Linked DNA regions of Macaca mulatta. The protein of the gene in region 2 binds, or shares a complex with, the protein of the main gene of each other region. Links are inferred from orthologs where the notes say so. Each region holds a gene or a part of one and is shown on either strand. Other genes may lie near its edges.

Region 1 (7,358 bases), on a different chromosome or scaffold from region 2:
GGCCTCAGTGAACTAGTCTTGGAACTTTTCAGTAGGTTGTTTTGAAGGATGATATCTGAAACAAGACTATTGCTTACTATAGCAAGGGACAACTATGCTTTTTAGGCACAGTTTCTCTGGACATAGAGATGGCTGATATTATTGTGGATTATTGGGAAGGACAGTCTTCAGGGATTCATGGACTTTCAGGGTCCTAAGTGGTTTGATATCATCTGTAGATGTGTGGTCATGTGGGTGAGACTGCTCTTGATTGATTGGCACTCAGAGGTGGGTGTATGGGAGTGCAGTTGTTCCTGACTGGCTAACTTTCACAAGCAAGAGGCTGTCACAGATTGGTTGACTTGAGAAAACTTGTTCATTCAGGTGCCTTTTTATTGCTCTGTTGAACAGGTTTAAAACAGTTGTGGCTACATGTTGCCAAGGCTACAGAAAAATGCGTCTCTCTGAGGAATGTGGGAACTTAAAAATATTACCAATTTGAAATTTTTTTATAATTAAAGAATTTAAAGTATTATAAGAATCACAGCACTATTATTTTGTTTTGAAGGCCATCTGGAAAGATGAGATTCACCCCTGTTGTGAAATACCTATATTATTTTATCTGAACCCAAAGTAATTAATATTCCTTTTAACATAGTATGGAAAGATGTAAAGAGTGAAAGTCACTGGTTAATACCATCGCACAGAGATAGTGACTATTAACATTTTATTGTATAGATTTCTGAATTTTGTGCTTACTTGGCTTGAATCTTAGCTCTTCTATTTAATAGATACAGTACTTTGGTCAACTTGCTTACCCTGTCTGTGTTTCATTTTCTTATCTGTAAAGTAAGAATAAATACTTGTTTGTTGAGTTGTGAGGATAAAATGAGTTAATTTAAGTAAGACATTTAGAACAGTGTCTGACATGTAGTTAATGCTACATATAAGGATTTGCTATTATTACTATATTATGTCCATTCTAAGACATATGTTTGCTATTTTAAAGTTTCTGCAGTTGGGATTTAACTTAACAACTGGTGGTGATTACGATAGGTGGTGTTTTCTGTTCGTTTGTTGTTGTTCTTTCCTTTGTGGCCCATAACATAATGGTATGTTTTACAACTGGTGGTCTATCTTAGACTGCATAAAATACAGTATGTGGGCATCTATTTTTTTTAATACAGAAGTGAGATCATACAATGCATACTGTTTTACACCTTTAAAAAATTTTAGGCCAGGTGCGGTGGCTCACACCTATAATCCCAGCACTTTGGGAGGCTGAGGCAGGTGGATCACCTGAGGTCAGGAGTTCAAGACCAGCCTGGCCAAATTGTTGAAACCCCATCTCTACTAAGAATACAAAAGTTAGCTGGGCGTGTTGGTGCGTGCCTGTAATCCCAGCTACTCGGGAAGCTGAGGCAGGAGAATTGCGAATTGCTTGAACCTGGGAGGCGGAGGTTGCGGTGAGCCCTGAGATTGCGCCACTGTACTCCAGCCTTGGTGACAGAGCGAGACTCTGTCTTTAAAAAAAAAAAAAGCCTTTTTCAAGGATGTATTTTCCTTTCTTTCCTTTTCTTTTTTTCAGATGGTGCCTTGCTTTGTCACCCAGGCTGGGGTGCAGTGGCGTGATCTTGGCTTGCTGCAACCTCCGCCTCCCGGGTTCCAATGATTCTCCTGCCTCGGCCTTCCGAGTAGCTGGGATTACAGGCATGGGCCAGTATGCCCAGCTAAGTTTTTTGTATTTTTAGTAGAGATGGGGTTTCACCATGTTGGCCATGCTGGCCTCCAACTCCTGACCTCAGGTGATCCACACATCTCAGCCTCCCAAAGTGCTGGGATTACAGGTGTGATCCACCGTGCCTGGCCACAAGGACATATTTTCAATGTCCTACAGATTTATTTAATTTTGTATAGTGGATGAATAGTATAGTGTTACATGGATGAACTGTCATTTGTTTACTGTTCGTCTACTAGGACTCTTTATTGTTTAATTTTTGCTCTCGTGGAAGATTTTAGTAAGTGGAACCTGGGGACGCGGGATAACTTAGGATAACCTGAGTGGAGATTGAGAGAAAAGTGCAAGTTATATTTGGGGCTGTTTCTGTTTGACTATAAAAGGAGGTTTCGAACAGATTATAAACTGTATTGAGTACTAGGTTAAGAGCTTTAGATTTTGTTTTAAGGTTTTGTGGAGCCATTCAACATTGAAGAGTAATTGGCAAAAAGATTTTCATTTCCTTTATAACTCAGTCCATATAGTATAGATGAATGGATTGATATAAACTTAAAATGGTTGTGTTTAACATTTTTATCAACGATGAAGATGTACAAAGTTTGTTTTCTCATTAAGTTTTCATTTGTACTTATGAATTGAGAAATAGGTTGGATTATGAAATTATCATATCAAATTATCTTAACAGGGTGCCAAGATGCGTTGAATCTAAATCGTTGACAATTTCTTTAGATAAATGGAAGATTTTGCCTTTCATTTAAAGGAATTTTTAAAAAATTCCATGAGGATAGTTTGATTTTGATTTGGTCAGCAGTACATTTGGAAAAGGTGTATGGTTTTAATGAAGAATTAGTTGTATCGGTGGAAGTACCTCATCTGGAGCAAGTTCTTGTCTAGTTCGCTCTGTTTAGACTTTATTTGCAGTTTATAGTGCCACGCTGAAAAAAATTGGAGTGAGTTTAGGAAGGAGCAAACAGGATGGCAGAGGAACTTAAAGCTGTTATGTTTCATGAGAAATTAGGGTACAAGGAAGGAAGGTCATGACAGTTGTCTCTAAAGTAGTCCAGATTGATCAGTATGACTCGAAATACGATCCAGTATAGTACTGTTTTTATATTTCCAGCACCAATTCCAGCGATCGCCAACTTTTTTCCTCATTTCCTGTGTTCTTTGAGTATATAAATTAAAAAAAAAATTTTTTTTTTTAATTTTTAAAATTTTTGAGACAGAGTCTCTGTCTAGTCGCCCAGGCTGGAGTGCAGTGGCACAATCCTGCCTCACTGTAGCTTTGACCTCCCGGGCTCAGGTGACTCTTCCATCTCAGCCTCCCAAGTATCTGGGACTACAGGCACATGCCACCATGCCTGGCTAATTTTTTTTTTTTTTTAACTAGAGATGGGATTTCACCATGTTGCCCAGGCTGGTCTTGAAGTCCTGGACTCAGGCAGTCTGCCTGCCTCAGCGTCCCAAAGTGCTGGGATTACAGGCGTGAGCCACTGTGCCTGGCTAAGTACATACCTTTTAGGTATATACTATGCTGGTATCTTTGAAGGATAATCAGGGATGTGAAGATATTTGAGAAGGTAGATACAGGTTATAAATAGTGCTAGAAGGAAACAATGGATACATTTCAACTCAAATTCTAGTTTTTGTTTTTTTCTGTTCATAATTTTGTGTAAACTCAGTGATTAAATTGCCTGTAAAAATTGTTTTCAAGACTGGGCACAATGGCTCATGCCTGTAACCCCTGTGCTTTGAGAGGCTGAGGTGGGAGGACCAGTTAAACCCAGGAGTTCGAGACCAGCCTGGGTAGGCAACACAGGGAGACCCTGTCTCTATAAAATACTAAAAAAAAATCTGGGTGTGGTGATGCAACCCTGTAGTTCCAGTTACTGGAGAGGCTGAGGTGGGAGGATGGCATGAGGCCAGGAGGTTCAGGCTGCAGTGAGCCGTGATTGTGCTATTGCACTGTACCCTGTGCGACAAAGCAAGACAGTGTCTCAGAAAAAAAAAAAAACCAAAAAACTGTTTTCAGAACACATCCAATATTTCTGAATTTTTATTACGTTAAATTGGTATTAATAGTCACACATTATTCTTACTGGACTGAAAATATCATGTAATGCATGTTGAAATGTGAGTATTAACATAAAAATCAGAGTTAGGGCTCTGGACTCTTTTAACAGATGAGGAAACAAGTTCCCGTAACATATAGTTAGTGGTCGGGGCCTAAATTCTTTCTTATTATTTTTTAAAGAGCTAGGGTCTCTCTATGTTGCCCAGGATGGCCTCTAAGTCCTGGGCTCAAGTGATCCTCCTGCCTCGGCCTCCTGCATAGCTGGGACTACAAGCGTGCACACCATGCCTAGCTTCTTTCTTTTATTTTCATCCCTCATTTTGAAAATATTTATACAATTTAGTTAATATTCTTTTTTTTTTTTTTTGAGACGGAATCTCGCTCTGTCGCCCAGGCTGGGGGTGCAGTGGCCAGATCTCAGCTCACTGCAAGCTCCGCCTCCCGGGTTTACACCATTCTCCTGCCTCAGCCTCCCGAGCAGCTGGGACTACAGGCGCCCGCCACCTCACCTGGCTAGTTTTTTGTATTTTTTAGTAGAGACGGGGTTTCACCGTGTTAGCCAGGATGGTCTCGATCTCCTGACCTCGTGATCCGCCCGTCTCGGCCTCCCAAAGTGCTGGGATTACAGGCTTGAGCCACCGCACCCGGCCTAGTTAATATTCTTATAGGAGATCTGCTGAGGGATTTTTTATTCCCTTCAAGAGGAAGGGGCACTTTTATAGGCTATTGCTATTGTGGACTGGACTGTTAAAATGATTACTTTAAAGACTTTTTCTGTTGCTACTTATTATCCCACAAAATATTATTTTTATTTTACAATCTAAGATGTGACCAGATTCAGTTATTTACGTGAGAAAAACTGAGCATGGATTTTGGTATAGCAAATACTGAGTTTTAAATTTTCACTCTGGCTACAAATAAATGATTGTTTTTTAACAGATCAAGAAGTTGGTATATGTTTACCTGGTTCGATATGCTGAAGAACAGCAGGATCTTGCCCTCCTGTCCATAAGCACTTTTCAGCGAGCTCTGAAGGTAAATAATGGAGTGGGTAGGCAAATAGCTACAAGGTTTCTGCAGAGTTGAAAGTGTGTCATTTAAAGAAGTGGAGCAATAATCCACTAAATAGCACAGTAGTGTCTTGAAAGAGTTAAAGGCCTCCTATAGTGCCTACTCAATACACTTAGAAAATAATTTATACAACCAACTGAAACCTTGCTGTATATGTTGCAGCTTCTGTATGTTTGTTTATATTCAATATAATTATTTTCATGCTTCAAAGAACTGTTTATCATTATACTAGTTTTTGAAAGTGTGCGAAGGGGGTTATCAGACATTTTTAAACATGAAATTGATGACCTGCAGCATTTTATTATTATTTAAGTATAAAAACCCAGCATATTTAGTAATAAATGACCAACGAGAATTATAACTATTACTTTTATTTAAAACATTATTAAAGAAGTAAACATTTATTTATTTCTGTCTCTTTTTCCCCTTCCCATATACTAGTTGTTCATTTTAAATTAAGTAGCTTTCTTTTGCTATTGTTCTATAACACCCTTTAAGCACCTATTAACTACATCTTAAAGATGTCTTTGAAATATTGTAAAGTTGAAAATTTGGTGAATATTTTTGCACTGTTTTTAGGACCCAAACCAACTAATTCGTGCAAGTGCTTTGAGAGTTCTGTCAAGTATTAGAGTGCCAATTATTGTACCTATCATGATGCTTGCTATTAAGGAAGCTTCTGCTGACTTATCACCATATGTTAGGAAGAATGCAGCCCATGCAATACAAAAATTATACAGGTAGGTGCATTGTTAACAATATACAAAGGATCTCTAATGTTACATGGAATGTTGTAGACCACAGAGGCTTATTTTAGTAGCTCTTTTAGCTAGCCCATTCTTATACTAAGTAAATCCAGTGACCGTATGATGGTATTTTCCCGGCTGCAAACGTTCCTTACACATCTTTAATTTTGTTTTGGCTGTAGAGATGCTATGCAGGTTTTTATTTGTGAGGCTGTTAGAGCCTGTGATAATTTATAGATTTTACAACTTAAGAATAATCAGAATTTGAATTCTCATCTGTATAGTCTATCTCATGTACACATATGCTTGTATTATTAGAAAATTGAGATTTTGTTTTTCCTGTTTACGGTAGAATCTTAAGCGTGTGATCCTCTCAACTCACTTATATTTGTTTTCCCTTCTATTGTTGTTCCTGCTGCTCCCTTCCTTGTCTAATTCTTTTCCAGAGCTATTTTATTAAGTAATTTAAAAAAGTGTAGTGATTTGAAATATAGTGCTATACCATATCTGTGTGATATTTTAGAAATGTTATGCAATATTGCACAATGCCGTGATCTCTGTGGAAAATTTACTGTCCAAATAGAATTATCTACAACAATTTGGTATTATTTTCGGCTGTCATTTATTCCTCAAGCTTTTTGAGACTCTCTTCTGTTTCTGATGTTGTATTCACAGTATCATGCTAGGTGTATTTAGATGTATGAAAACAGTAGAGGATGTGGCACTTACTTATGAATAGCATATCATGTATTTGCGGAAGAAAATCAAAGACATGCCATAATTAAAGGCAATCTATAACTGAATAAGATATTAGCACTTGATACATATGTATATACAAAGGTACACTAGCAATGTCTTTGATAGGACAGGGACCTATCATATTTTGTTACCAGAAAGTAAAGATGTAATGAGATGGGTGTGGTAGTGAAATACTGCTTTGAGAAGGAAGACTTAAGCTGAAATTTGAAAGAATTAAAAAGTTTGTCCAGATAATTATAATGCTTAATAATAAATATATGTGTTTGTAAAAAGTGAAAACTTTTTTTCCTGTGTTAACTGTCAGACAAAGTTGTTTTTTTTTTTTTTTTTTTTTTGAGACGGAGTCTCGCTCTGCCGCCCAGGCTGAAGTGCAGTGGCCGGATCTCAGCTCACTGCAAGCTCCGCCTCCCGGGTTCCCGCCATTCTCCTGCCTCAGCCTCCCGAGTAGGTGGGACTACAGGCGCCCGCCACCGCGCCCGGCTAGTTTTTTGTATTTTTTAGTAGAGACGGGGTTTCACTGTGTTAGCCAGGATGGTCTTGATCTCCTGACCTCGTGATCCGCCCGTCTCGGCCTCCCAAAGTGCTGGGATTACAGGCTTGAGCCACCGCGCCCGGCCTCAGACAAAGTTTTATCATGCTTCTCACTCACCTTTTCTCCTTATAAACTTATGGGATAAGATGCATGCTCACTGTAATGATTTAGAAGTCCTATCACTGGGCTTCAGTATATTTCAGCCTCAATGCTTGCCTCTCCTTGCCTTGAGCTTATGGTCTGTTAGTATTCTATCTCAAATGTTTTAATCTTATTACTACCTCTTATTTTTCTTAGTTTTAGTTGGCAGATATGCATGTCTCTATCAGTGAACTAGTATTATATAAAATTCTTATTTGGAAATTCTCCATATTTGTTTTTGGCAAGTATGTATCCATAGTAAAATAATGACTGCTGTCTTGTTATTTTTTTCCTCCCATTTGAAAAAAGAGTTTGTGG
Region 2 (8,027 bases):
ATTCATTTGACTGTAAAAATGTGGAAAAATGGGGTTGAAGATGCTGAAGGCAAAAAAGTGTGGCAGCTCAGTGATGTCAGACACCACAAGAGGGATGCATGTTCAAAATCTGTTTTCTAAACCTGCCCCCAGGTCCTCAGCTGGTGAGTAGGTATACATTTTTTTTTTTTTTTTTTTTTTAAGAGCTAAGATTCTTGCTCTGTTACTCAAGCTGGAGTGCAGTGATATGATCACAGCTCACTGCAACCTTGACCTCCTAGGCTCAAGTGATCCACTCTCCTGCCTCAGCCTCCCAAGTAGATTGCACTACACAGGTGTGAGCCACAGTGCCTGGTTAATACAAATATTTTAAGGAATATGTCACCACCAAAACTGCCAGATGTATTCATAGTATTTTAAATATAAATCAATAAATTTGATTAGTGAGTGAGCAACTGCATTCCCATCTACAGAAGGTACGAAGCACAGGCACATCTAACCGCCTGCATTCCCAATCCTCAGGATAAGTCTAGATGATATCTAGCAATAGTCCTCTTGACCATTTATACCTAAATCAAACCTATAAAATACTTAAAAGTTTCCCGTATAGTGTATATGGTACTGCAAAAATAACTTGCTGTGTGACACAAATGGAAAGATGTCTCATATCTAGCCATGCTACCACTGGAAGTCCTTTGGAAATGAATCTTTCTAGCTTGCTGGCATCCCTTCAGGGAGTAAAAACTATTTTAATACATTCTGCCTAGAAGATTTTCAAAACACACTATTTTGAGGACACAGGAAAACCCAAACTCAGTTTCTCACACACTCTTATAACACAGGTCGCTTCTCACACCACATGAGCAGGGGTTTCTCCACACATGCCAAGTAAGCAACCAGTTCTGCGTTCTGCAGCAGACACCGGATAGGTGTCCTTTAATTCAGTTCAATCCTGACACTGTCCACCTGGAGGCAATCACAAGCTCCAGGTTATTTTACCTGTGCTTCTGGACAACCATCTATAAATCAGGGTTCCCATAACTCCTTCCCCTTGGGTTCAATTAATTTGCTAGAGTGGCTCACAGAACTCAGAAAAACACTAAAGTTTACTGGTTTTTCATAAAGGATATTACAAAGGATACAGATGGAGAGATGCATAGGGTGGGGTATGAGGGAAGAGACACGGAGCTACCTTGCCCTCCTGGGCGTGCCACCCTCCAGGAACCTCCATGAATTCAGCTTTCTGGAAGCTCTCTGAAAGCCCAGGCAGGCCTTTTGGGTATTTCCCATCAACAAGGAATTTCATGCTATTTCAGAATTGTACTTAAGTGTGGTTCAGTCTGAACATTCCTTTGTACAAATGTGGAAACACGGGGCTGTAGATGCTGTTAACTACTGAAGGCAAAAGTGTGGCTTCATGATATTAGTGTGATTGATTAAATTATTGGCTACTGGTGACCAGCTCAATCTTCAGTCCCTCTCCACTCTGGGGAAATTGGAGGGTGGGGCTGAAACCCTCTAATCCTACCTTGGCCCCGTGACTAGCCCTACCCTGAAGTTTCGTAGGGGCTGCCCGTCACTGGTCAACTCATTAGGGTACAAAAAGACATCATCACTTTGGAGATTCCAAGTATTTTAGTAGTTGTATGGCAGGAAATGGGAGGCAGGCCAGATATGTATTTTGCAATCCACAACTACAGACTTCTAACTTCCTGAAATGTTCATGGACTGAATCAAGTCTCCCGTTCACTTCATGCTGTACACTAACAGTGAGCCCTGGGCCTCCGGGGTGTGGGAGAACGTCTGCCTTCTAAACAGAATCATTCTCAATTGCTGTGCCTGTGAAAATCTGCCTTTTATGCTTTCCCTGTCTCTTCTCTTGATGTCATTTAGGCTTTTCCTGTTATCAGGGCCTGTAAGAAGCACCACCTTTCCCAGTCTGTTGGCTGACAACCGGCTGCAAGCCCTTGTTACCACTGTGTGAGAACCAGGAAACCAGGATTAGTCAAGGACATTATGGCTAATCAGCCAGCCTTACTGTCTTCTCATCCCTGTAGATGGTTGAGTGACAGGACCCTGGGGGAGGACCTGAGAGCCTCTTGGGAACAAAAAACATCCAGGACATGTCTGTCAAGTTGCTAACAAGGTCATCTGACCCACCTGAGAATGTGAAACTACCTTCCAAGACGGTGCTGGGCACCTGCACAGCTGTAAGGTGATAAGTGCAACTATGCCTTAAAGAGTTTATAACAACCACAGGAAAATACGAACCTGAGGATGAAGGCAAATCCTGGAATCCCAACATGAAGGGGCTAAACCTTTTCCAAAAGACCACTTCAGATGCTACAGGCAGGATACCCCTACCAACCAACCACACCAATGAGGAGCAGGCACAACACAGAAAACACAAGTTCTCATAATTTAAGATCCCCACTGCAAGGCCTTTTCCTGTTTCTCTCCCAATTACCTCTGACAGTGCACTCTACTTCCTTTCACCCTCTTGAGTTTACCGAGGTGAAAGGTCAGGGGGAGAGGACAGAATGCCTATGAGAGACAGTATGGGCCTGCCAGCCCAGGCTGGCTGCAGCCTCTTGCTCAAGAGAATGGTCACAGCTCAGGAAGAAGTGTGTACAAAAGCTTGGTGAGCATGGCCTGTGAGTAAGAGCTGGTTTAAATACACCAATGAGACATTTAATTTGAAGAATCTAGAAAAAACTGCTTCAACTCTCTGAAACCACAGTCATATACTTTGCGTGTGAACTTGCACAACAGGTTTTTTTCTCTTAGTTAGGTCTACTTCTATGATCACTGCAGCAGCTGACAGTCCATATTAAATTTTACTGAAGTGAAAAATGAAAGGCCAAATGCATCTTCGAAGCTATAGTTTCAAGCCTGTCCAGTCTGTAGGGGCAGATGAGCAGGTGAAGATGTCTGAATGTCCTCTCCATATTGTGCAAGAGGTACAGCGCATAGCTAGACTACATGATGTACAAAATCAGAACTGTGAGGGGCACAGAACCAGTTTTTGCTTTTCACTCACAGTCATTCTGTGACTCAGCTGTTGTCCAAACCAACTGTTTCAAATCTTTTTCAACTAGCAAATCTGAAAAACTGCCTGACAGGCAACAGCATATTCCTACTGCTGCAATGATTTGGATTTATTTTCAACAAGATACACCTAAAGACAAGTGACAGATATTCTCCGGTCTACCAACATGTGAAAACGTGGACAACACACCTCTAACAATGTGGCCAATCAGATGTGTATACTAACATTTATACTACTCAATTCTTCTCAATTTTGGACCCAGCTAATAGTACGGCATTTCAGGACCTTATGGTTCTGGCTACCTTGGTAGTGCTGGTGAAAATTCAAATTAAATGAGGACATCATCCATGCAGTCACACGTGTTAGACAATGGCTAACGCAAAAGCAGAGGGCCACAGGGGCCGCACACAACCGCACCTCGGCATCTCACACTCCTCCCAACACACTGCGGAAAACGCCAGAACCACCAGCCTTGCAACAACCGGCGGCAGAGAAAACTGCTGACCACTAGTTCTGAAACAAGAAATACAACTGCCCACTCCAATAGGGGCAGTGGCACCAACTCTACAGCTCTAAACTAGGCGGCGACTTCGGGGACCATCCAAAGACTCCGACCTCCCTTCTTTTTCTGCCCGCGATTCCGAGCGCATTTCTGCTCAATTCCTGCAAAGCAGCAACTGGCTGCCTGGACGGAAAGGGAGTCCGCCAGGAAGTGCCGTCGGAATGGTTATCTAACACTCTAGGTGCGCACGGCTGTACAGACCCAATCTCACAAGCCGTAACCACCCAGGCTGTGCCCCGAGAGAGCGCTGGGGCCGGCCTCTGCGGCCTAGAGTCTACGAGCAGGTCGTTCCGCAGGCAAGTTAAAGATTCACCAGCTCAAAAGAGGCCTTCTTATCTACTGCCGACAACGTCAAGGAAACCACCCTGGAGTTAAAGCGAACATCGACCGGCCCTCTGGAAGCCACCGGAGACTTCATACTGACCCCAAATCGCGTCTCACTGTTGTGAAGGGAGGCACTCTGGGCTTCCCCGGAGGTCCACGCATTCCGTTCAGCAGACAGGGAAAGGCGCAGGGTCCCTGTCCACTGCCCGCCCGCTCGCTCTCACCGCCCCTGACCCAGTGCCTTCCTCAGAAGAAACACGAACTGGATGGAGTCGGGAGGCGAAGGTGCAAGCCCCCACCACCTACGTGACCTTGACGGTGTCTTGGGGCCGCCTGAGCCTCAGTTTCCCGGTCCCCGAGGCAGCGGTCCGCCCGGATGCCGCTCGCTAGCCTGTACTCGGGTGGAGGAGGCCCCACAACCCCCACCGGCCCCCGAGACCGCTAACCCCAACCCTCCACGCGCGGGCGGCCTCGGGAAACGTGAGGGGCAGAGGTGAGGGAAGCAGGAAGCCCAGGTTTCCTGGAGAAGAGCCTGGCGTCCCGGCTGACTTCCGGGCGACGGGCGGGGGCAGGGACTGGCAGAGGAGGACAAGGGGCCGCGGGCGACTCCGGGAACCTGTGAGGGGCGCGAGGAGCTCACCGACCCGCCCGCCCTCCCAGCCCCGACTCCCCAGCCTCAGCCCGGCCCGTCCTCGTCCGCCCCCGGCCCGGCCCTGTCGCCGCCGCCGCCGCCGGGATCGAGGTGCCCTTCGCGAACCTCAAGTCGCCCCGAGGCCAGTCCCCAGACCCCGCCGGCTCCAACTTGTGTGCGGCCCACACCGACCCGCGCCCCTCGCCCTCACCTCAGAAGCTGCTGCTTCGAGCCAGGCGTTGGTTTCGCTCCCACAAGATGGCGGCTCTGACGGCGGCCACGTCAGCGCCTGCGGGCGCGGGGAACGTCGGGTAAGAGGCGGAGACGCCGGGAGCTCCGCCCCCCGTGCGCCCGCGACGCAGGCGCGCTGGCTCCAGAAGGGCTGCAGGGGGCGGGGCCGGGGACACCCAGCCCCGGGCCGAGGTCCTAGCTCGCGCGCGCCTTAGGGGTGCGCACCCGTCTGCGCCTGCGCCTGTGAGTCTTCCGAAAAGACACCTTGTGGCTGCCACACGCCCGTTTGGCAGATTCGGAGACTGAGGCCCGGGGGGCTGCTGCAGCAACTGGAGCGGCGGGGCCGGGTTGCCACCCTCCTCCTCCCCGACCCGGCAGTCACCGCGAGCCCTCGGGGACCGCGTGAGGACTGGGGTGCGAGGCGCCCCTTCGCTGGGATTGGGGTCCCTGGCTCCCAGGCTGCGCGGGTCCGTGTGCCCCGGCCCTGTGGAAACCTGTGGCACTCGCGGGGCCTCGGCGGAAGGTCCGAAGGAGGGAGGCCTGCTATGTCCCCGCACTGGCCTCGGCGCCCCGGCGGCCGCAGTGACTCGCGCGGGCTCATGCCTGGGCTCATGCCGGGGAGTTGGCTACAGATGAAGCAAAGGAGGAGGTGGCCTGGGGACCCCGGGGGGAGGCCGGGGCTGTGGGGGTGGTGCCCAGAAGGGAGGTCACAGCGGTCTCTAATGAGCTGGCCTTTCAGCTGAGATCCAGTTGAGGCGGAGGAGACCCCGCTCCCAGGAAGCCCTCCTGGATTGGTCAGAAGGGAACAGAGGCCTGGCTCTGCCCACCACCCTCAGGTCTTCTTGCCTCTTCCCTTGTGCAGCTGTGAGGGATTGGGCTTGTGGGAGAGCGTCCGTGCAGCACAGTTCTCTGGGTATTCTGGAGGTCGGGAATCAACCTGATTTGTCCAGGGGGAGGCCCGGGGGCAGGGCCTGAGGGGTGGGGTCACTGGGCCTGGCCCAGGCCTCCTGCGCCCCTTTGCTGCCGCCATCACCTACCTTGCTTGCCCCTTGGGCAGGGCATCCTCACTGCCACTGCAGGCTGCGATAGTCGGAGTTCTCCCCCAGGGCTGCACCTGCGGGGGCTTCGAAGGACCCCAGAAGTGGTGACCCTCCTGCCCCCAAATTCAGTCCCTTTTTCTGCCTGGGGCTCCCCTCTGAAATCTCACCTCTGTGAAGCTGCGGCAGGTTGTCTGTTTAGGGGAAGGATGTCTCCCTCCCACCCTACAGGCATCTCAGATACTCTTGGAAAGCCCCAGGGAGGGGTGTGGATGCCTGTGGAGCCTTCTGATTGTGCTGCCTCTCCCGCTCAGCCAGAACTGGACCATGCTCGGACATTTCATGGGGGATACATGTGGTTATGGCCACTTTAGGGCTGAAGGGACCTGGCTTTGGTTCTCTGATGGCAGAGCATGGCCAGGGGTGGCTCCAGTGTCACTGAGTGGGGATTGTGTGGGAACCAGAGCCTGCTTCCCCTTCCTTTAAAATACTCTATTTTTTTTTTTCTTTTTTTGAGATGGAATCTTGCTCTGTCGCCCATACTGGAGTGCAGTGACACAATCTTGGCTCACTGCAATCTCCGCCTCCTGGGTTCAAGCAATTCTGCTGCCTCAGCCTCCCAAGTAGCTGGGATTGCAGGCGCCTGCCCCTACGCCCAACTAATTTTTGTATTTTTAGTGGAGACAGGGTTTCACCATGTTGGCCATGGCTGGTCTCGAACTCCTGATCTCAGGTGATCCACCCGCCTTGGCCTCCCAAAGTGCTGGGATTACAGGTGTGAGCCCCCGTGCCTGGCCCCTTTAAAATATTTTATTTTAAATGTGAAAAAATGCAGACAGGAAAGAGTGTATGTCAGATACATGCACAGTTTAAAAAGTAATAAAATGGATTTCTGTATACACAGCCCTAGGGTTAAGAAATGTACCTTCCCCAGCCTGGGCAACATGATGAGACCCCATCTCTACAAAAATTTTACAAAGATAGCCAGGTATGGTGACACACACCTGTAGTTCCAGCTACTTGGGAGGCTGAGGTGGGAGGATCGCTTGGGCCCAGAAGTTCAAGGTTACAGTGACCTAGGACTCTGCCACTGCACTCCAGCCTGGGTGGCAGAGTGAGACCCTGTCTGCAAATAATAATAATTTTTTAAAAAGTCCCTTTCCGCTGATTCTGTGCTCCTGGTTTGGCCTCCCCACCACCACCAGGACAAAAGTGATGTCTTCAAGCCAGACAGGCGCAGGGGAGCCCAGGTAGTCACACCCAGATTTCTGCCCCTGGAAGGAGACCCACTAGGGAGCTAAGAAGTGTCAGGCAGTGATTTCCTGGGGAAATTGAGGCCCTGGTGCTCTCCCAACACTGCCTAGGGAGTAGGGATCCCTTTCTCTCTACTCTGAGGTCCCTGGGATCAGATGAGGTTTAGCCAAGAGGGGTGGGATGAGCTGGCTAGAGGGAGGGCATTGGGGGCCAGGCTGGACAGGGACCCTCCAGCCTTTGTGGCTGCCTCCGCTGTCAGTCTCAAAGATGCCAGCTCAGGTGGGGCTGGGCTTCTCTCTTCTGGGGGTGGCTGCACCTGAGAACCAGGTCAGAGACACGGATGCCAAACAACGGAACGGGCTGGCCTCCTAGGGAATGCGGCTAGAGGGACAGATGAGCTGTCTGGAGCAAAGAAGCGGGAATACCCATGTTGGAGACCTAGTAGGCAGCCATTGTGGCTAGGTGAAGGGGACCCCAGCCCACCTCAGGCCTGGCAGGCACTTTGGTCAACCTCTGAGTGCAGGACTATGAAGTGTGCGGCATTTGAGCCAGGTCACAGATGTTCAGAGAGGTCTCACATGTACCTGATGTCACCCAGCTAGGATGAAACCCCTCTGAAGCTTGACTACTCCATGCCCAAGTCTGCTTATTGCCAACACCTTTAGTCTTTCCCCAGCCCTGCCCTCCCTCTTGGGGAACAAGCGCTTTGGTGCCTCTGCAGACTGCAATGTTATCTTGGATTCCTCCAGTGATGGGCAGCTCACTACTACACCAGGCATCCCAGGACAGAGTTCTCCTCTCTGGATTTCCTGCCCCACTCTGTCTCCCACATGGTTGCTCTGCCGGCTCTCTCTGTTGGGAGACTATAGATGGGCTAAAGCTGGAGAATCATACTGCAAGATGCCAGGGCATTCTGCGGGGTGGCACTGCCTCCACCAGAATCAGTACTTTCTCGTCACG
Region 3 (7,358 bases), on a different chromosome or scaffold from region 2:
GGTGGTGGCATCTGGAAGGGCCCCTTGCCCCGCTTGCTTCCAAATAGGGAGCCCAGGAAGGATGAGGAGTTGGAGACGGGCCTCTGGCTCTTGTACTCCTCTGGCGGCGGGGGTGGGGGCGGAGGTGGCATCCTCTGGTGAGGGCGTGGACTGCTAATAACAGACCCCTGGAAGGGGGGAGGGGGGAAGTCAGGCCAGGCTAGATGCCCTAAACCCCCAGCCCTAAATTCCACCCCTGTCCCTGAGGGCTGGAGCTGGGGACATAGCGAACCCCAAGTTGTAATAAAAACCAAATCACAGTCCTGTACTCATATGTGGAGCTCCCCAGCTTGCAAAGCTCGGCTGTCACATCCACTATCTCATCTGAGCCTCAGCTGGGAGAGGAGAAATTAGCAGTACCTCCTCCTCATCCCCATTTTGCAGGCAGGGAAAAGGTTAGGCCCAGAGAGGCAGAGTGACTCGCCCAGGGTCAAAGAGCAGGACTTGGAGGTAAGAGCTTCTCGTGGCCCAACTCCAAGGGCATCCCTACTCGCCGTCGGCCCTGGGGTTGAGAGGGGGCACGGGAGAGTGGAAGACAGGCTGAGAGACAGGCAGAATGAGGACAGACAGAGTTGAGGACAGATGGAGAGAGTGGTTGGCTGGGAGAGGCAGCCGCACGGTTCTCAGCAGGGAAGGGGGGAGCAACAGGTCCCCTCCTCCTCTGGGTCTCCATGGCCGGGGCAGGGCTCATGCAGAGGACGAGTGGGGCAGGAGCTGGCACTTACTTCGATGGTGCTGTCCAGCGATCCCACGCTGTTACGCCGCCCCCGCTTCCCTGCACCCACAAGCAAGGAGCCCAGCGTCAGAGCAGCAACCCCCCCTCCCTACCCTGCTGGGCTCCAGAGCTGGGCACCAGGCCTGGGCCCCTCCCGGGGACAGACACCCCATTATCCCTTTCCCCCATTGAAGAGGGGGAGGTGGGGAGGAGGAGAGGTGGAGAAGGAGGAGAGAGAGGAGGAAAAGATGGAGAAGGAGGAGTGGAGGTATAGGAGAGACAGAAGAGGGAGAAGAGGAGGAGAGGTGGAGCAGCAAGAGAGAGGCACCAAGACTGTGGCCCCACTTCACATGCCCTGGCCCAAACGCTGGGCTCCCCCTGCTCTGACCTGGCTCCCAGGCCCCCTGTGGCGCAGCGCCCAGGACTCTGGGTGAAGGCAGGGTGCGTGTGTGTGTGGCAGGTGGAGGGAAGGCTGGTGGCCAGTGACAGGAGGCAAAGAGGACACCTGGTCCCGTGTCTCCCCAGCCAGGGCAGGGGCCCAGAGGGCTTACCTGCATCAGAGAGGTCTCGCAGGGAACTGCTGAGTGCGCCCCGTTTGAGCCCATCGCCTGCCCCGTAAGTGTCCTCCAGGCTACTGCGGGCCATCGTCCCATTCACTGAGTCCTTGGCCCCTCCAGGCTGTGAGGCGTTAGGCCGCATCATACCTTTCTGCTTCTCCAGCTCCGCTGGGTGGCAGTCGGGGAGACAGGGAGCAAAGGTCAGGAACAGGAGTGAGAGCCCATCTGACTGACCCTAGCCCTCCGTCCTCCTTCCTCCTCCCTCCTCCCTCCCTCTGTCCCCAGGCTTCCTGTTTTGCCCCTTGGACGACCAGCCCTTGTCTCCCCCAAAACTGCAGCTCCATCACCGAAGTACCCTTAGTGCCCAGCTCCCGTCTTGCACCCTCCCTTCCTGCTCAGCCTTCCCTTCATCCCTCTTGGTGCCTGCTCTCCCTGTTCCATTTCCCTTCCCTTCACTCTTATGACTTCTCCCCTCCCATGCCCTCTTGCAGTCAGGTCTCTCAAAGCACCCCTGCCCTTCAAAAAAGAGCTTCATGGCAGATGGTTCACAGTAAGGACGGGAAGGCCCTTCTAGCCTATGGCAAAGGGCAATCTTTCCAGAGTCCAGTCAGTTCTCAGATACCTTGCTCCAGAGCAGAGGGGCTCCTGGAAGGGCAGGAGCAGGAAACTGACAGGAATCAAATCCTCTATTAAGTGCCAGGCAGTATGCTGGGTGCTACACATACTTGATCTCTCTCAATCCTCACAACAGTTCTGAGGTCAGTATTAGCATCCACATTGTGCAGAGGAGGAAACTGAGAATCCGAGAAGTCTTAGAGCTTGCCCAGGGTCATACAGCTGGAAATGGCGGAGCCGACATCCAGAGCTGGGGTGCTTCCGGCCTCCTTACAGCCCCACCTCCCCACAGAGCTCACAGAAACATGTGTCTACTGGCCTCCCCTCGTCTTGGGCTGCTAATCCCTCTCTCGGGATTTTCCCAGGGTCTCAAAGGATCTGGTGAACTGAAACTTCTATCCCTGCCTCGCTGAGGAGTAGAGTGGCCCTGGAGCTGTGAAGGCCTCACCAAGGAGCTGTCCGCCGCCTCGTCTCTCTTTTTCTGTCTGCCTGCCTCTTTCTCCTTAACACCATGTTACTTAACTGTGACTGCTTAGCCTGGAGAAGAGAAAACTTGGAGGGCATCGGGAGGAATGAGATGTAATCACTATTTTCCATTATATATATATGATCAAAATGACTTGGTGTGGCCCCTGGAGAGGATAGGCCACTGGGACTCAGCTCAGGAATTGATATGTGGGCAGAGGAGGAGAGAGAGTGGGACAGGGAATACAGACTTTTTGAATGCCTAAGATGTGTTGGGACATTTCGGCTACCTTGTCTCATTTCATCTCCTTGACTCCGTGAAGGAGACTTCATTACCCCAAATTCGTGTAGGAAGAAACTGGGGCTAGGCGGGTTAGGCAATTAGCTCCAGTTCACCCAGATAACGAATAGCATACCTGGGACCTAAAACTACAGTCCTACCTCTAATACTCTGATTCTTCTCCCTGATACCTTTCACTAGAAGGAATAGTTGGCTCATAATTAGAGTTTGGGATAATAATGGGGCTGGGAGGTAATGAGCCCCTTGTCACTGAAGGTATTCAAGCAGAGGCTGAAGAATTCTTGAAATGAGCATGGGAAGGTTGGACAAGCTAACCCTCAACTCTGAGATTCTCAGAGGATAGGATTCTTGGTTTCTGCAGGGTACTGTTTCAGGAGATGGGGGAGGAGACGTGGCTGGGCTACTCACACTCCACACGGTATTTCTCCATCTCCTGCACCTCCGCAATGGATTCGCGCAGGTCGGATGTAAAGCGCAGCCGGTCCTGGAGGCTGGGGGCATTGAAGATGATGAGGACTTTTCGCTCCCCACCAGGTACTGCAGACAGCAACTTGATCCCAAACTGGTAATCTGTGGAGAAAGGGGAGACTGGGCACCTCTGTTGGGATTGGTGGAGGTGGCTCATACCTAAAATAATTTTTCTTTTCTGTTCTTTTTTTCCTGAGATAACATCTCTCTGTCACCCAGGCTGGAGTGCACTGGTGTCATTATGGCTCACTGCGGCCTTGAACTCCTGGGCTCAAGTGATCCTTCTGCCTCAAGCCTCCTGAGTAGCTGGGACCATGGGCACGCACCATATGTGCAGATAATTTTTTTATTTTCAGTAGAGATGGGGTCTTACTATATTGCCCAGGTTGGTCACGAATTCCTGGGCTCAAGCGATCCTCCTGCCTTGGCCTCCCAAAGTGCTGGGATTACAGGTGTGAGCCGCCATACCTAGCCCATGAAATAATTTTTCTGCTGTCTAACTCTGATCATGCCTCTTCTCCATTTGAGCATATTTAGCAGCTCCCCTTTGCCCCAAAGCCCTCAAACTCCTGGTAGCTGTGGCCCCCTTACTTCCTGTACTGCAGGATGTAAAGGCATACAACTCTGCACTGCTGTCTTGAAACTCTTTCCTTCTCACCTCTACCTCAACTCACATTGCTACTGCTGCCCAGAGTACCATGAAACAAAGCTCCTCCTGGTTCATCCTTTAGAGCACAGCGTGATCACCATCTCTTTGGCCCACCAGAGAACACATGCACTGGGGTTCTCTGCAAGACTATGAGCTAACCAGGGGCTAGACCCGAGTCATACTCCACCCTGGCCTGCCCCTCATCCTGGGACCAAGTAGGTGCTTCGGAGACCCTTAGCCTGGTTGTAAGGGACTCCGAAAACTGGAGCTGGTAGAGATGACGGGTGAGCATGGGGGCCATGACATAGACTCTTGGGAGCTGGGATCCAAGAAGGGACTCACATGAATTCTGGAAGAGCTGCATGTGCATTTCCACGAGGGGGAAAGACTGACGGAAACTGTACGTCACCAAGATCTTCTTCTTCTGGAAAATTTTGGTGACCTTTGGCAGGGGTGGGAAAAAGACAAGAGGCAGCGTTTTGGGTGGGGAATTTCCACGTGGCACCTATTTCTGGTAACCACCCTCCCCTCCCACCCCATTAACAGACATACACACACAAATACACATGCCCACAAGCTGGGGAGAATGGAAGCTTGAGGGACAGAATGGGAGACATGGAAGAAAACGCAAGTTCCTGATGTAATGACCACGCACCACAGACATTTACCACATTTCCAGGAACTAACTGAATCCTGCTCCCTCCAGGAAGCCTGCTCCAACATCCCACAGAGATTTGTAAACCCCTTTTCTGAGCTCCAGAATGATGATTCAGTACCTTTCCCTTGTCAGGCGCTATGCTAGTCCTCTGAGTGTGTGATCACCCCCTGCTGGACTGGAAGGCAGGAGTCTGGTTGTCGGGTTCTGTCACCGGGCCTCACCAGAGCCTGCACTTAATGGCAATCTCTGCTGAACCCATGTAGAGAGTTAACAAGTCTTCCTCTCAACAACCCAACGTCTTTGTCGAGTACTTGGGCACTCTGGACTCAACTAACACAGGTTGCAAACACCTCAGGCGGTCTGCAAGTGGCTCATAAAAGGAAATGTTTTGATTTCAGGATGGCATGATGACGCAAAGCACTTTTTTAGGTCCTTTGGGCTGTGAGCTCCCTGAGAACAGGGACTAATTCTGATTCATCCTGGCATACCCAGTGCCTGGCATACAGCTGGACGCACACCAGTTTCAGTACCTGAGGGATGTCTACACATTGACTGTGTGGGCCAGGTACTCCTTGGGGTAAGGCAGATTCCACATATAACCTCTTCTTTCATTTCATCCTCATAACAACCCTGTGAGGTAGGGGTTAGCTCCATTTCACAGAGGAGGAAACTAAGGCTCAGAGGGAGCATGAAAATACTTCCGCTAAAGCAGCAATCCTCAACTGGGGGTGATATTGCCCCCAGAGGACATGGAGCAATATCTGGAGACATTTTTGGTCGAAGGGTTGCTACTAGCACCTAATAGGTAGAGACCAGGGTGCTGCTAAACATCCTACAGTGCACAGGACGGTCCCTGCAAAGAATTATCCAGCCTCAAATATCAACAGTGATGAGACTGAGAAACCCTGCTCTAAAGGAGAGACCACCGTGGGAACAGGATCACTGTCCTCCAAACCCTGGCGAGTTGTCTTGGAGCAGAAGGACAACACTTGTTCTTTGTGATGCCAAAGGTTAAGTGCAGATGGTTGGAAGAAACCCACAGGGAGACAGATTCTAGCAGTCAGAGCTGCCTAACAAGGCAACTGGCTGCCTTAGAGGAAGGCGGCTTTCTGTCCCCACAGTCATACATCCAGTGGGCCATCTAGGAAGCTGGACTCTGAAAGTCCCTTCCAACCAGCAAAGTCCTAAGAGTCCCATCCCTAAAAGACAAACATCTCTATTTGTAATGAGCTCAGTTTTAAGAATCACTTCAAGCATCTTTTTTTTTTTTTTTCTTTTTTTTAGACAGAGTTTCACTTGTCGCCCAGGCTGGAGTGCAATGGAGAGATCTCAGCTCACTGCAACTTCCGCCTCCTGGGTTCAAGCGATTCTCCTGCCTCAGCCTCCCCAGTGGCTGGGACTACAGGCACGAACCACTATGCCCAGCTAATTTTTTATATTTTTAGTAGAGACGAGGTTTCTCCATGTTGGCCAGGCTGGTCTCGAACTCCTGACCTCAGGTGATCCACCCGCCTCGGCCTCCTAAAGCGTTGGGATTACAGGCATGAGCCACCGTGCCTGGCCCAAGCATCTTTTTCAAATTTTGTTTTTATTATTTGTGTATTTATTTATTTATTTATTTAATTTTTTGAGACAGGATCTGGCTCTGTTGCCCAGGTTGGAATGCAGTGGTACAATCACAGCACACTGCAACCCCTGCCTCCCGGGCTCAAGTGATCCTCCTGACTCAGCCTCCCAAGTAGCTGGGACTACACACAACAGGTACACACCACCATGCCTGGCTAATTTTCGTATTTTTTGTGGAGACAGGGTTTCGACATGTTGCCCAAGCTGGTCTCAAAACTCCTGGGCTCAAGTGATTCAAACTGCCTTGGCCTCCCAAAGCTCTGGGACTGTAGGCGTGAGCCATGGTGCCCGGCCCACTACAAGCATCTTGATTACTGAAGATTTCTAGACTGACCTGGGGGTCACAGGTTCACCCCTCTTCACACAACCCTATGGGCTACTGAGGTGGACAAGGGTATTTCCTACCACTTCCCAGGTTGTAAGTCTGTCATCCCTTTGGTCCTCATATATTCTGTCCCTGTGCGTCTGTTACTATCTCCAAATGAATCTGCGAGGAAAAGGAGGGGCAGAGAAGGCCTGGGCCTTGCCTGAGGCCATGCGGATGGCATGGCAGAACACCTCGCCTGCGACACTCCACACACCACACCACACACCAACATCAACATGGCTCACACCAGACTCAGGTGTCAACCTCACTATCCCCCTTCCATCTCCTCCCCCACAGTGCTCATACCACAAGGAGATCATTGAAGAGGAAGACCTCTCGCTGATGCAACCCTAGCCTCTGGGGGCGGTTTGGATCTGGCACCTCGTAGAGCTGGCAGCAGCAAACCAGTCGACGGTGAGGGAGAGACAGGACCTAGACAGGCATGGAGAAACAGGTGTCAGCAAGGCCAGCCCGCAGCTTCAGGCCTCCTGGCACCTTAAGTTTCAACCGCAAAAAAGTTTACCTCTCATACATGTGTATCACTCTGACACAAGGGGTATCAGCGACTAAGGCCTAAACTTTTCTTCTACCTTGCCTTTGTCCCTCTGTCTGGAATATCTTTCTTGTCCAGCTCTGCATGGTCATATTTCAACTCCCCTTCAAATTTCCATCCCAGCCAGGCATGATGGCTCACGCCTGTAATCCCAGCACTTTGGGAGGCCGAGGTGAGCGGATCACCTGAGGTCAGGGGTTCGAGACCAGCCTGGCCAACATGATGAAACCCCGTCTCTACTAAAAACACAAAAATTAGCTGGGTATGATGGTTGGCGCCTGCGATCCCAGATACTCAGTAGGCTGAGGCAGGAGAATCGTTTGAACCCAGGTGGTGGAGGTTGCA
Region 4 (7,358 bases), on a different chromosome or scaffold from region 2:
CCCCTGGCCCTCTCTCAGTCGCCCATGGCTGGGGATGGGGATCGCACTGCTCTTGGTCACTGTGGGTTCATGGTGTCTCACACAGGTCCTAACAGAATAATCTTCAGTCTTTACTGGATGAACCAATGAACTGTCACCACCAGCTGAGCCAAATGGTGAGGAACTCAAAAGTTCTTATACACAGACAGCCTCATTCCCTTAGACCAGCAGGGTTGGCCAAAGTCTTTTTTTTTTTTTTTTTGAGACAGAGTCTCGCTCTGTCACCCAGGCTGGAGTGCAGTGGTACCATCTTGGCTCACTGTAAGCTCCGCCTGCCGGGTTCACGAGATTCTCCTGCCTCAGCCTCCCCAGTACCTGGGACTACAGGCACCTGCCATCATGCCCGGCTAATTTTTGCATTTTTAGTAGAGATGGGGTTTCACCGTGTTAGCCAGGATGGTCTCGATCTCCTGACCTCGTGATCCGCCCACCTCAGCCTCCTAAAGTGCTGGGATTACAGGCATGAGCCACCGCGCCTGACCTGGCCAATGTCTTTAACCCCCTAGGCAGGGTGTGGAAATGCGTGAGGAATGAACAATTCCAGGTGGCCACAGCACTGTTAGGAAGATGTGGATACCTACCAACTGATTCTGAAGGGAGAGGGCACCCACACCTTAGAACTCTCCCATGACTGAGGCAGTGGGGAAAGTCCTGCCTGGGGCAGAAAAACTCCTCCTCCAGGTAGCCTGGCCTGATGACTCCTGACTAGGAGATCCCCTCCCCTCTCCTTTCCAGCACGCTCTGCTGGATACACTCATCTGACCCTTCAGGAAGACAAAGCAGGGATAACACTGGTAAGACAAACACATGGCTGGGCACCGTGGCTCACACCTGTAATCCCAGCACTTTGGGAGGCCGAGGCAGGTGGATCACCTGAGGTCAGGAGTTCAAGACCAGCCTGGCCAACAGGGTGAAACCTCGTCTCTACTAAAAATACAAAAACTTAGCCAGGCATGGTGGCGGGCACCTGTAATCCCAGTTACTCGGGAGGCTGAGGCAGGAGAATCACTTGAACCCCGGAGGCAGAGGTTGCAGTGAGCTGAGATTGCACCATGGCACTCCTGCCTGGGTGACAAGAGCAAAACTCTGTCTTGAAAAAATATAAATAAATATATATATATATATATGATGAACTCACAAGCCTAGTGCCAGCTCCAGGCTTTCTTTTCCTGGCAGCTCTGCAGTGCCTGGCAAAGGCTGGCACGCACAGGGTTACAGGAGTCTTTGCTGTTCTCTGTCCCTTAGTCCTGCTTTGTGTGCCTGTGATATTGGGCTTCTGGCCTCATGCCTTGGTGCAGCCAATCCAGGTAGTAAGTCAACCGCACATGCTGTACGCTATGCCACGATCCTACGTTCCCTTGGCCCTGCTGGTCCTGACACCCCACGCATGAAGGCAGGGGCACAGGTTGTTCTCACACTCTGTGGGGCCACCATCATGTAGGGGTCTGGAGCAGAGGCTTTAGTGTCACTTGCTTTCACTTCCAGACTCTGTCACCAGCTATGTGACCTTAGGCAAAAGCACTTGGATTTCTCAACCACGAAATAGGAGGAAGAGCCACAAAGGGCTGCTGGGAGGAGGACGTGCTGGCAGTGGCTGTGGAATGCTGTGCCATCCCTGCAAGGAAGTGTGTGGCTACTAGTGTCAGAGCTGCTATCTGCTGTGGACCTCTCAGTGCCCAGACCCTGCCAGGGCCTCCAGTCACCACCACTGCAGGTGCAGCTGGCATATGGTGGGGAAAGCCAGCTCAGGGGGTAGGGAGGTGGGGGCTCATGGCTCCCTAGTCATGACAGAGCTGTCACTGCCCCGACCCCCAACTGTATCCTGTTTTGGGGCGGAGACCTCAGAAGAGAGAGGGGGGCTCTGGCAAACACAACTTCTGAGTGTGGTGAGGGGATCAGGCCAGGTTGGTCCCCTCTGGCAACTTCCTTGACACTGACAACATGGCCCACCCTGAGCTCTCCTCAGTGCCAGCCCGCATGTTCTCACACCCTGAACTCAGCTCTCCTTCCCTCAGCCCCGCTCCTCCCTCCCAGGGAGCTCTCAAGTCTGGCCACTGCTTCCACCCACAAGAGCCCTCGTGGTCCAGCTGCCACAGCACTCCTCCTCCCTGCTGCAGAATCCCCTGGGGCCGGTGCTTCTGCCCCACCCCTTCCCTGCACACGCAGCCATCTTTCTCAAGTGCAAATCAGACTGGTTCATATCTTTGCTTAAACCTTTCCAAAGCCTCCGGCTGTGCCAGGATCAAGAAGAAACGCTCAGCCTGGCCCACCAGCCTTGCCAGCTTCTTCCTTTGCTGATCCCTAGTCTAGCCAGGAGTCTTGGGGGTGTGCCCTAGGTGGCACAGTGGGCATCTTCAGGTGGCATAACATAGTGGGCTGGAGTCAGGGATGCTGGACGTCCTACCATGGGGACAACCACCCCACAACAAGCAACTGTCCTGCATCCTTCCAGTATTTTCTGCATGGTTTCAACATATCCTGAGACTTCCAGGAACACAATTCTCAGGAAAATCAAGGGAAGCCTGTTGTTTATCTTACTCCGAACCTTAGTGGGAGTCAGCGACCACTTCAGAAACAAATGGCACCACTGGCCAAACCACTCATGGGGTCCAGGCTACAAACACCCAGACTGTGGTTGCCACAGTCACAGTGACTTTGCCCTGCAGCAAACACCTGGCAACTTCATATCTTCCGGGGTGAGTGGGCAGGCGTGCCCAGACGCTTATAACATTGATACATACACTTGTATTCTCTTCCTTTTATGTCTCCTCCATGCAGTGAAAGCATCTGAGTATTTTTGGAATGCTGTGTGTAGGTAGGTTACACAGCCCACCAATTGCATTTAAGGAGAGGAACAGTGACAATGTAAAATGTCGATGATGACTAAGGGGTGCTGGGTCTGATGGCACTGAGAACTACTGCTCCCACCTGACAGGCCTCTGCTGATTCCCTGACAGAGGCCAGGGTCTCCCTTCCCTCCAGGCCTTACCACAGGCTGTTCCCTTGGTCTGGAGCCCCTACCCGCTTCTGTTCAGCTAATGAGGTCCTGCGACTCCTCCGGAAAGCCTGCCTAGGCATCCACCAAGCCTGACTTAGCTCCTTTTCCTCGGTGCCCCCGTGGCCCCCAGCTTCCCTCATCAGCGCTGGCCTGAGCCAATTCCACAGCCGAGGCCATTTAAAGGAGCCCACATGCCAATCTCTATAACTTCTCTCTGCTCCTGCCAAGAGAGAAGACAAGTGACTTACTGCTTTGGGGGCTACATATGATCCTGACAGGGTGCCCACGCCACTGGTTAGGTCAAAGAGGTCACTCAGGCCACTGCCGATGGGTGCTCCAAGACTGGCTGGTACTGCTGCTGTTGGAGGTGCCACGAAATTGGTGCCCCCAATCTGGAAAGGGAGGGAAAGAGTCAGAGGCAGGCATCAAGAGGCAAGGACATCAAGGGCTGGGAATGAGTAGAGCCACCTGGCTCTTTAGAATACACTGGGGGTGGGGGGCAGGACAGCCTCCATATCAACTCGAAATTACAGAAACAAGACAGAGAGAGGTGGGTGGAGTAGAGAGGCTGAGCCCTCCCGTGCCCTGTAAGCCTTGAGCCTTAGAAGTAACCTCTGGGAAAGGGCTGGGGACACTCCCAAATTGACACTCAGCCCATGGATAAAAGGAGGTCCCAAGACACACGGCTGGGTGGAGACCTGCTATGCAGACGGGTGCTCTCCCTCCAGGACATTAGAGAGGGGTTGTGGGACTGAGGGCTGGCAATCCCTGGGATGACAAGGTGATGCGTCATGGGGTGGTGAGGACTGGGCAAGAATCCATGGCTATGGGGCCTAGTGGTAGCCGAATGCCAGCTGGTCAAGACAGAGACTGCCAGGACGCGGGACCAAGGCAGGGGCTCAGCCGGCGGGGGCTGCTTTGACATCACCCGCCCCTTGGGATGCTGGGCCAGCGCTTTCGGGAGGAGCAAGGATGAAGGCTGGGTGACGCAAGGGTTGAACCATACCCCTTCAGGCTCATCCCCCATCTCCAAGCAGAAGCAGGCAGGTGAAGAGAACAGGCAGCCACATGCAGAGAGAAAAAGCCAGGAAGGAAGACAGAGGAACAAGAGAGAGAAGGGAAAGAGGGAGGAGATTAGTTAACAGTAGCTCCATCTGAGAGGAGAGTGGTGTGAGGCTGTGTCGGGGCCTATGAGAGGCCCAGACCCTGTCTCTATGAAAGGCACTACCCCACACATTTACCCCAGCACCCGTTCTGCACCACAGCCCTTCCTGCCTCACCCTAGCAGCGCTAATTGCCAGTCTCCTGCCCCCATGCTGCCACCGTGCGGACCTGAGTCGAGCACAGTCAAATGAAGAGGCTCAGCCACCCCCAGCACCTGGCCCTGCCAGTTGCCTGAGGAAGCCCCAGGGAGATACCCACGTTAGTCTCACCACTCCCCTCCCTACTGTCTTCCCATTCCCCTCTCTCCCCGGCCTCCTATGCCCTCTCAAATAGGCCTGGCTGGGCTTCTGTTCCCAGCTGGGGCAGCATGAAGCTAAGTGGACACAAGTCTGATTCCTCAAAGCTAGGAACACCCTAGCCTAACAGGGCAAAGGTGACTATGATGCCAGGATCAGGGCAAGGGCTAGGATGGGCCTCCCTGCCCAGGATCTCCTGGGACTCGAAGGTCCAACAAGGGAGTGGAATCCTGTCTGCCACTCAGGGGCTGTGCGACCTTGGAGGGAAGGCTGCCTGGCCTCTCTAAACCTTGGTTTTCTCATCATAAGTAGGGAGCTACACAATCACCTCCGAGGGTAAATGGTAAGAGCTCAATATAATGTACCTGAGGCACTCAGCTGGTGCCTGGCATGGAGGGGCGTTCAGTGACTGCTCCTCTGAGGATCATTATCAACATCATCCAGAGGGCACCCATGACATACCAGGCTGTCAAGGCCACCGCCAAGAAGGTCCACAGCTCCCATCTGCACTGAGGAGGTGGTCAGGGGTGGGCCGCTCACTGGGGGGCCGAGGTCCAGGTTGAGGAGGTCACCCAGCAGGTCGCCCTGGGCGGGGATGACATCTGGCTGCTCCCCAGGAGGTGCTCCGGCAGGAGCTGTCTCAGGGCTCTCTGCGCTCTCACTCCTGCCGGGACACAGGAGAGAGAGAAGGTCAGTAGGGCGGAGGCATCAGGATGTCTCAGGAAGGTCAAAGAGACCCCAACCTCCAGGTGCCTCCCTCAGGACAGGCACTGAGTCTCCTCCCTGTCCCCAACAGCGCTGTCCACACGGCCCCACTGCTTCCCCATTCCCACAGCAGGTCCATCTTTCAGGCCCTCTGTGAGGATGAGTGAAGGGAGAGGGCCGCCTGCTTCTAGCCCTCAGCCCATGCCAAGGAGAAAACTGGAAGCCAGTGCCCTAGGATGGTGCCACCAGGTCACACCAACCACCTGGGAAAAGCAGAGGAGGAGGCACAGACAGGGCTCTGGAATGAGACAGAACCGGTCTGAGTCCCAGCTCTGCTAGTTGTGAGATCCTGGACCAGTCCCTCAAGCTCTCCTTGTCTCTTGTTCCCACCTGAAGAATGGGGACATTTGCTCTCAGAGCTGTTGTTAGGATGGAATGAGGTCATCTAGCAAATACCTCATGTATAATAAATAGCTGAGAAAAGGTTGTCAGTTTTCCTCAGACTCAGGCCTTGCCAGGGGACAACACACCAGGCCTGAGTGCCTGTGCTGCTGAACTGGGAAAGCAGGTGTGGAGGCTCAGGCCTACTGGCCAGTCTCACTCACGAGGCCGTGCGGGGTGGTAGGCTCTTGTGCACGACGCCCCGGCCCCCCTCCACAAAGGCACTGGGAGGCTTATGGTAGACAGAGGCCAGTGTGCCGATGTAGCAGATAAGCTCGTCCAGCAGTGTGGGCTCGATGAGGTCCGTCTCTTCAGAGATGAGTGGCTTCTCAGCCAACACCACCTCCTTGGCTGCCACCGGGTCCGTGGAAAGCAAGCGCCAGTAGATGTAGCCACGGTCCCGCAGGTCCGGGTTATCTGAGTCCTTGTGGGGGTGAGGAGAAGCCCGTGAAACTTAGAGCAGCCAGGTGAGAAGGGAGGAGGTTTTCCTGTAGCCATGAGCCAGGTGTGGCACAGGGCTGGCCAATGGGGACAGCACTCCCATGAGCCTGTCCCTACACCACCTACAGGGCCATACCCCGGCACCGGGCTCATTCTCCATGGTGCTCTACTCCAGCCTGGCTGTGCCTGTCTCTACTCCCAACTGGCCACTGTGGCCTGCCCTTCCTGCCCCCAACGCACACCCTCAGGCTTCCGCAGGCTCTCCTCCTCTGTCTAGTTTGTCTCAACTTCACTACTTGACCTCACTGCACTTTGTGTTCTAAGCTCCCTGAAGGCAGGGAGCTTGGGTTACTCTGGGGCTGGAAGCCAGTCCCACCCACAGGATACCTGTCTCAGGAGTGGGCCTGGCTTCCAGGTCTAGTTCCTGGGACAAAAGTTCCCCTGCTTGAGTGAGGGTTGTGCTGGGCACAGTGGGGCGGTTGGGGCACCCACCTGAGTGGCCAAACTGAGGACCTGCTGCACCAGCTCCTGGGTCTCTGTTGGCTTCTTCAGAAAGAGTTTCACAATGCCTGTCAGCAGCTGCAGCTGGACCTGCAGGGAGGGAACAGCGGTGGCGAGGAGGAAGGTGGGCCTTACATGGGGACAGCGGGAGACTAAAAAGGCTTGAAGAGGAAAAGGGTGTTCAAAGTCCCTGGAAGCCAAACACAGCTCTTCTAGGTTTGGGGCTGTCACGGCACACACGCAAAGGGCCACCACAGGTGTTGGTGCCGCTGAGCAGCCAGACTTTGGCATCACTCACTCAGGAAGGAGCTGAGCACTGGACTATTCAGCAAACCCAAGCAGGCCAGGGGCCGCTGCCCAGCCCTAGGGTTCTAGAAACCTGTTGGAGCTCTAGACTTCACAGGACTATGAGAAGCTCACGTGTGGCTGGTATGCTTCTTATTGGGACTACCTGTCAACAAGTGGCGACAGTCCCATGGAGTCCCAGGGGACTGGGGCAGCAGGGCCCACAGAGCCTGCCATCAAGAACCTGTGCTTCTACCAGAGGGTGGGAACCATTCCTGGTGGCCCTCCACTGGCCCCTGCTGCATACCTGGACATACCCAAAGCTGCCCTCATCCTGGCCAACCATCCTTACCCTTCAGATCTCATGCCAACCCCACCTTCAGACCCCCCATGCTTCTGCAGCCTCTTCCATCCCCTCACAGCACCACCAGTTGCTGGCTGTCCTGTGCAGTGAGCTCCCTGTGGGCTGGAGAGATGTCTGTCTTGCT

What was found.
Region 1: the proteins of ARF1 (region 2) and AP3B1 are in contact, whole or in part, in a cryo-EM structure (PDB 9C5B), measured with the Homo sapiens proteins. The link is inferred for Macaca mulatta from reciprocal best matches to the Homo sapiens genes ARF1 and AP3B1. Residues at the interface, in NP_001019397.1 of Homo sapiens: Glu17, Arg19, Tyr35, Ile46, Pro47, Thr48, Ile49, Gly50, Phe51, Asn52, Val53, Glu54, Lys73, Ile74, Leu77, His80, Tyr81, Asn84; in NP_003655.3 of Homo sapiens: Glu52, Asn54, Pro81, Val84, Lys85, Val87, Ala88, Asp111, Leu112, Leu114, Leu115, Ile117, Ser118, Thr119, Gln121, Arg122.
Region 3: the proteins of ARF1 (region 2) and IQSEC2 are in contact, whole or in part, in a crystal structure (PDB 6FAE), measured with the Homo sapiens proteins. The link is inferred for Macaca mulatta from reciprocal best matches to the Homo sapiens genes ARF1 and IQSEC2. Residues at the interface, in NP_001019397.1 of Homo sapiens: Arg19, Gly24, Leu25, Asp26, Ala27, Lys30, Thr31, Ile46, Pro47, Thr48, Ile49, Gly50, Phe51, Asn52, Val53, Glu54, Thr55, Thr64, Trp66, Asp67, Val68, Gly69, Gly70, Gln71, Lys73, Ile74, Pro76, Leu77, Trp78, His80; in NP_001104595.1 of Homo sapiens: Arg810, Gln811, Gln841, Arg845, Val846, Gln847, Gly848, Glu849, Ala850, Gln851, Val853, Glu854, Glu858, Asp879, Phe882, Ile883, Phe886, Ala887, Ile889, Leu890, Asn892, Thr893, Asp894, Tyr896, Ser897, Pro898, Ser899, Val900, Arg904, Met906.
Region 4: the proteins of ARF1 (region 2) and AP1B1 are in contact, whole or in part, in a cryo-EM structure (PDB 7R4H), measured with the Homo sapiens proteins. The link is inferred for Macaca mulatta from reciprocal best matches to the Homo sapiens genes ARF1 and AP1B1. Residues at the interface, in NP_001019397.1 of Homo sapiens: Glu17, Met18, Tyr35, Ile46, Thr48, Ile49, Gly50, Phe51, Asn52, Val53, Glu54, Thr64, Trp66, Lys73, Leu77, Arg79, His80, Tyr81, Gln83, Asn84; in NP_001118.3 of Homo sapiens: Asn23, Asp25, Pro52, Asp53, Val55, Asn56, Met58, Gln59, Met83, Ile85, Met86, Ala87, Val88, Asn89, Thr90, Val92, Lys93, Tyr121.

What each region holds. Positions count from the first base shown.
Region 1 is NC_133411.1:84,584,045-84,591,402, reverse strand, and holds part of AP3B1 (AP-3 complex subunit beta-1), read left to right. Parts: intron 1-4,730; coding exon 4,731-4,826; intron 4,827-5,441; coding exon 5,442-5,602; intron 5,603-7,358. UniProt on the Homo sapiens protein: Subunit of non-clathrin- and clathrin-associated adaptor protein complex 3 (AP-3) that plays a role in protein sorting in the late-Golgi/trans-Golgi network (TGN) and/or endosomes.
Region 2 is NC_133406.1:85,832,830-85,840,856, reverse strand, and holds the start of ARF1 (ADP-ribosylation factor 1), read right to left. Parts: upstream 4,798-8,027; 5' UTR 4,757-4,797; exon of another isoform or gene 4,672-4,756; intron 4,596-4,671; exon of another isoform or gene 4,077-4,595; coding exon of another isoform or gene 4,015-4,076; intron 1-4,014. UniProt on the Homo sapiens protein: Small GTPase involved in protein trafficking between different compartments. Modulates vesicle budding and uncoating within the Golgi complex. In its GTP-bound form, triggers the recruitment of coatomer proteins to the Golgi membrane.
Region 3 is NC_133426.1:53,078,403-53,085,760, forward strand, and holds part of IQSEC2 (IQ motif and SEC7 domain-containing protein 2), read right to left. Parts: intron 6,893-7,358; coding exon 6,767-6,892; intron 4,252-6,766; coding exon 4,152-4,251; intron 3,263-4,151; coding exon 3,101-3,262; coding exon of another isoform or gene 3,093-3,100; exon of another isoform or gene 2,601-3,092; intron 1,480-2,600; coding exon 1,306-1,479; intron 815-1,305; coding exon 765-814; intron 168-764; coding exon 1-167. UniProt on the Homo sapiens protein: Is a guanine nucleotide exchange factor for the ARF GTP-binding proteins.
Region 4 is NC_133415.1:22,213,972-22,221,329, reverse strand, and holds part of AP1B1 (AP-1 complex subunit beta-1), read right to left. Parts: intron 6,676-7,358; coding exon 6,577-6,675; intron 6,068-6,576; coding exon 5,808-6,067; intron 5,162-5,807; coding exon 4,960-5,161; coding exon of another isoform or gene 4,933-4,959; intron 4,065-4,932; coding exon of another isoform or gene 4,044-4,064; intron 3,430-4,043; coding exon 3,286-3,429; intron 1-3,285. UniProt on the Homo sapiens protein: Subunit of clathrin-associated adaptor protein complex 1 that plays a role in protein sorting in the late-Golgi/trans-Golgi network (TGN) and/or endosomes.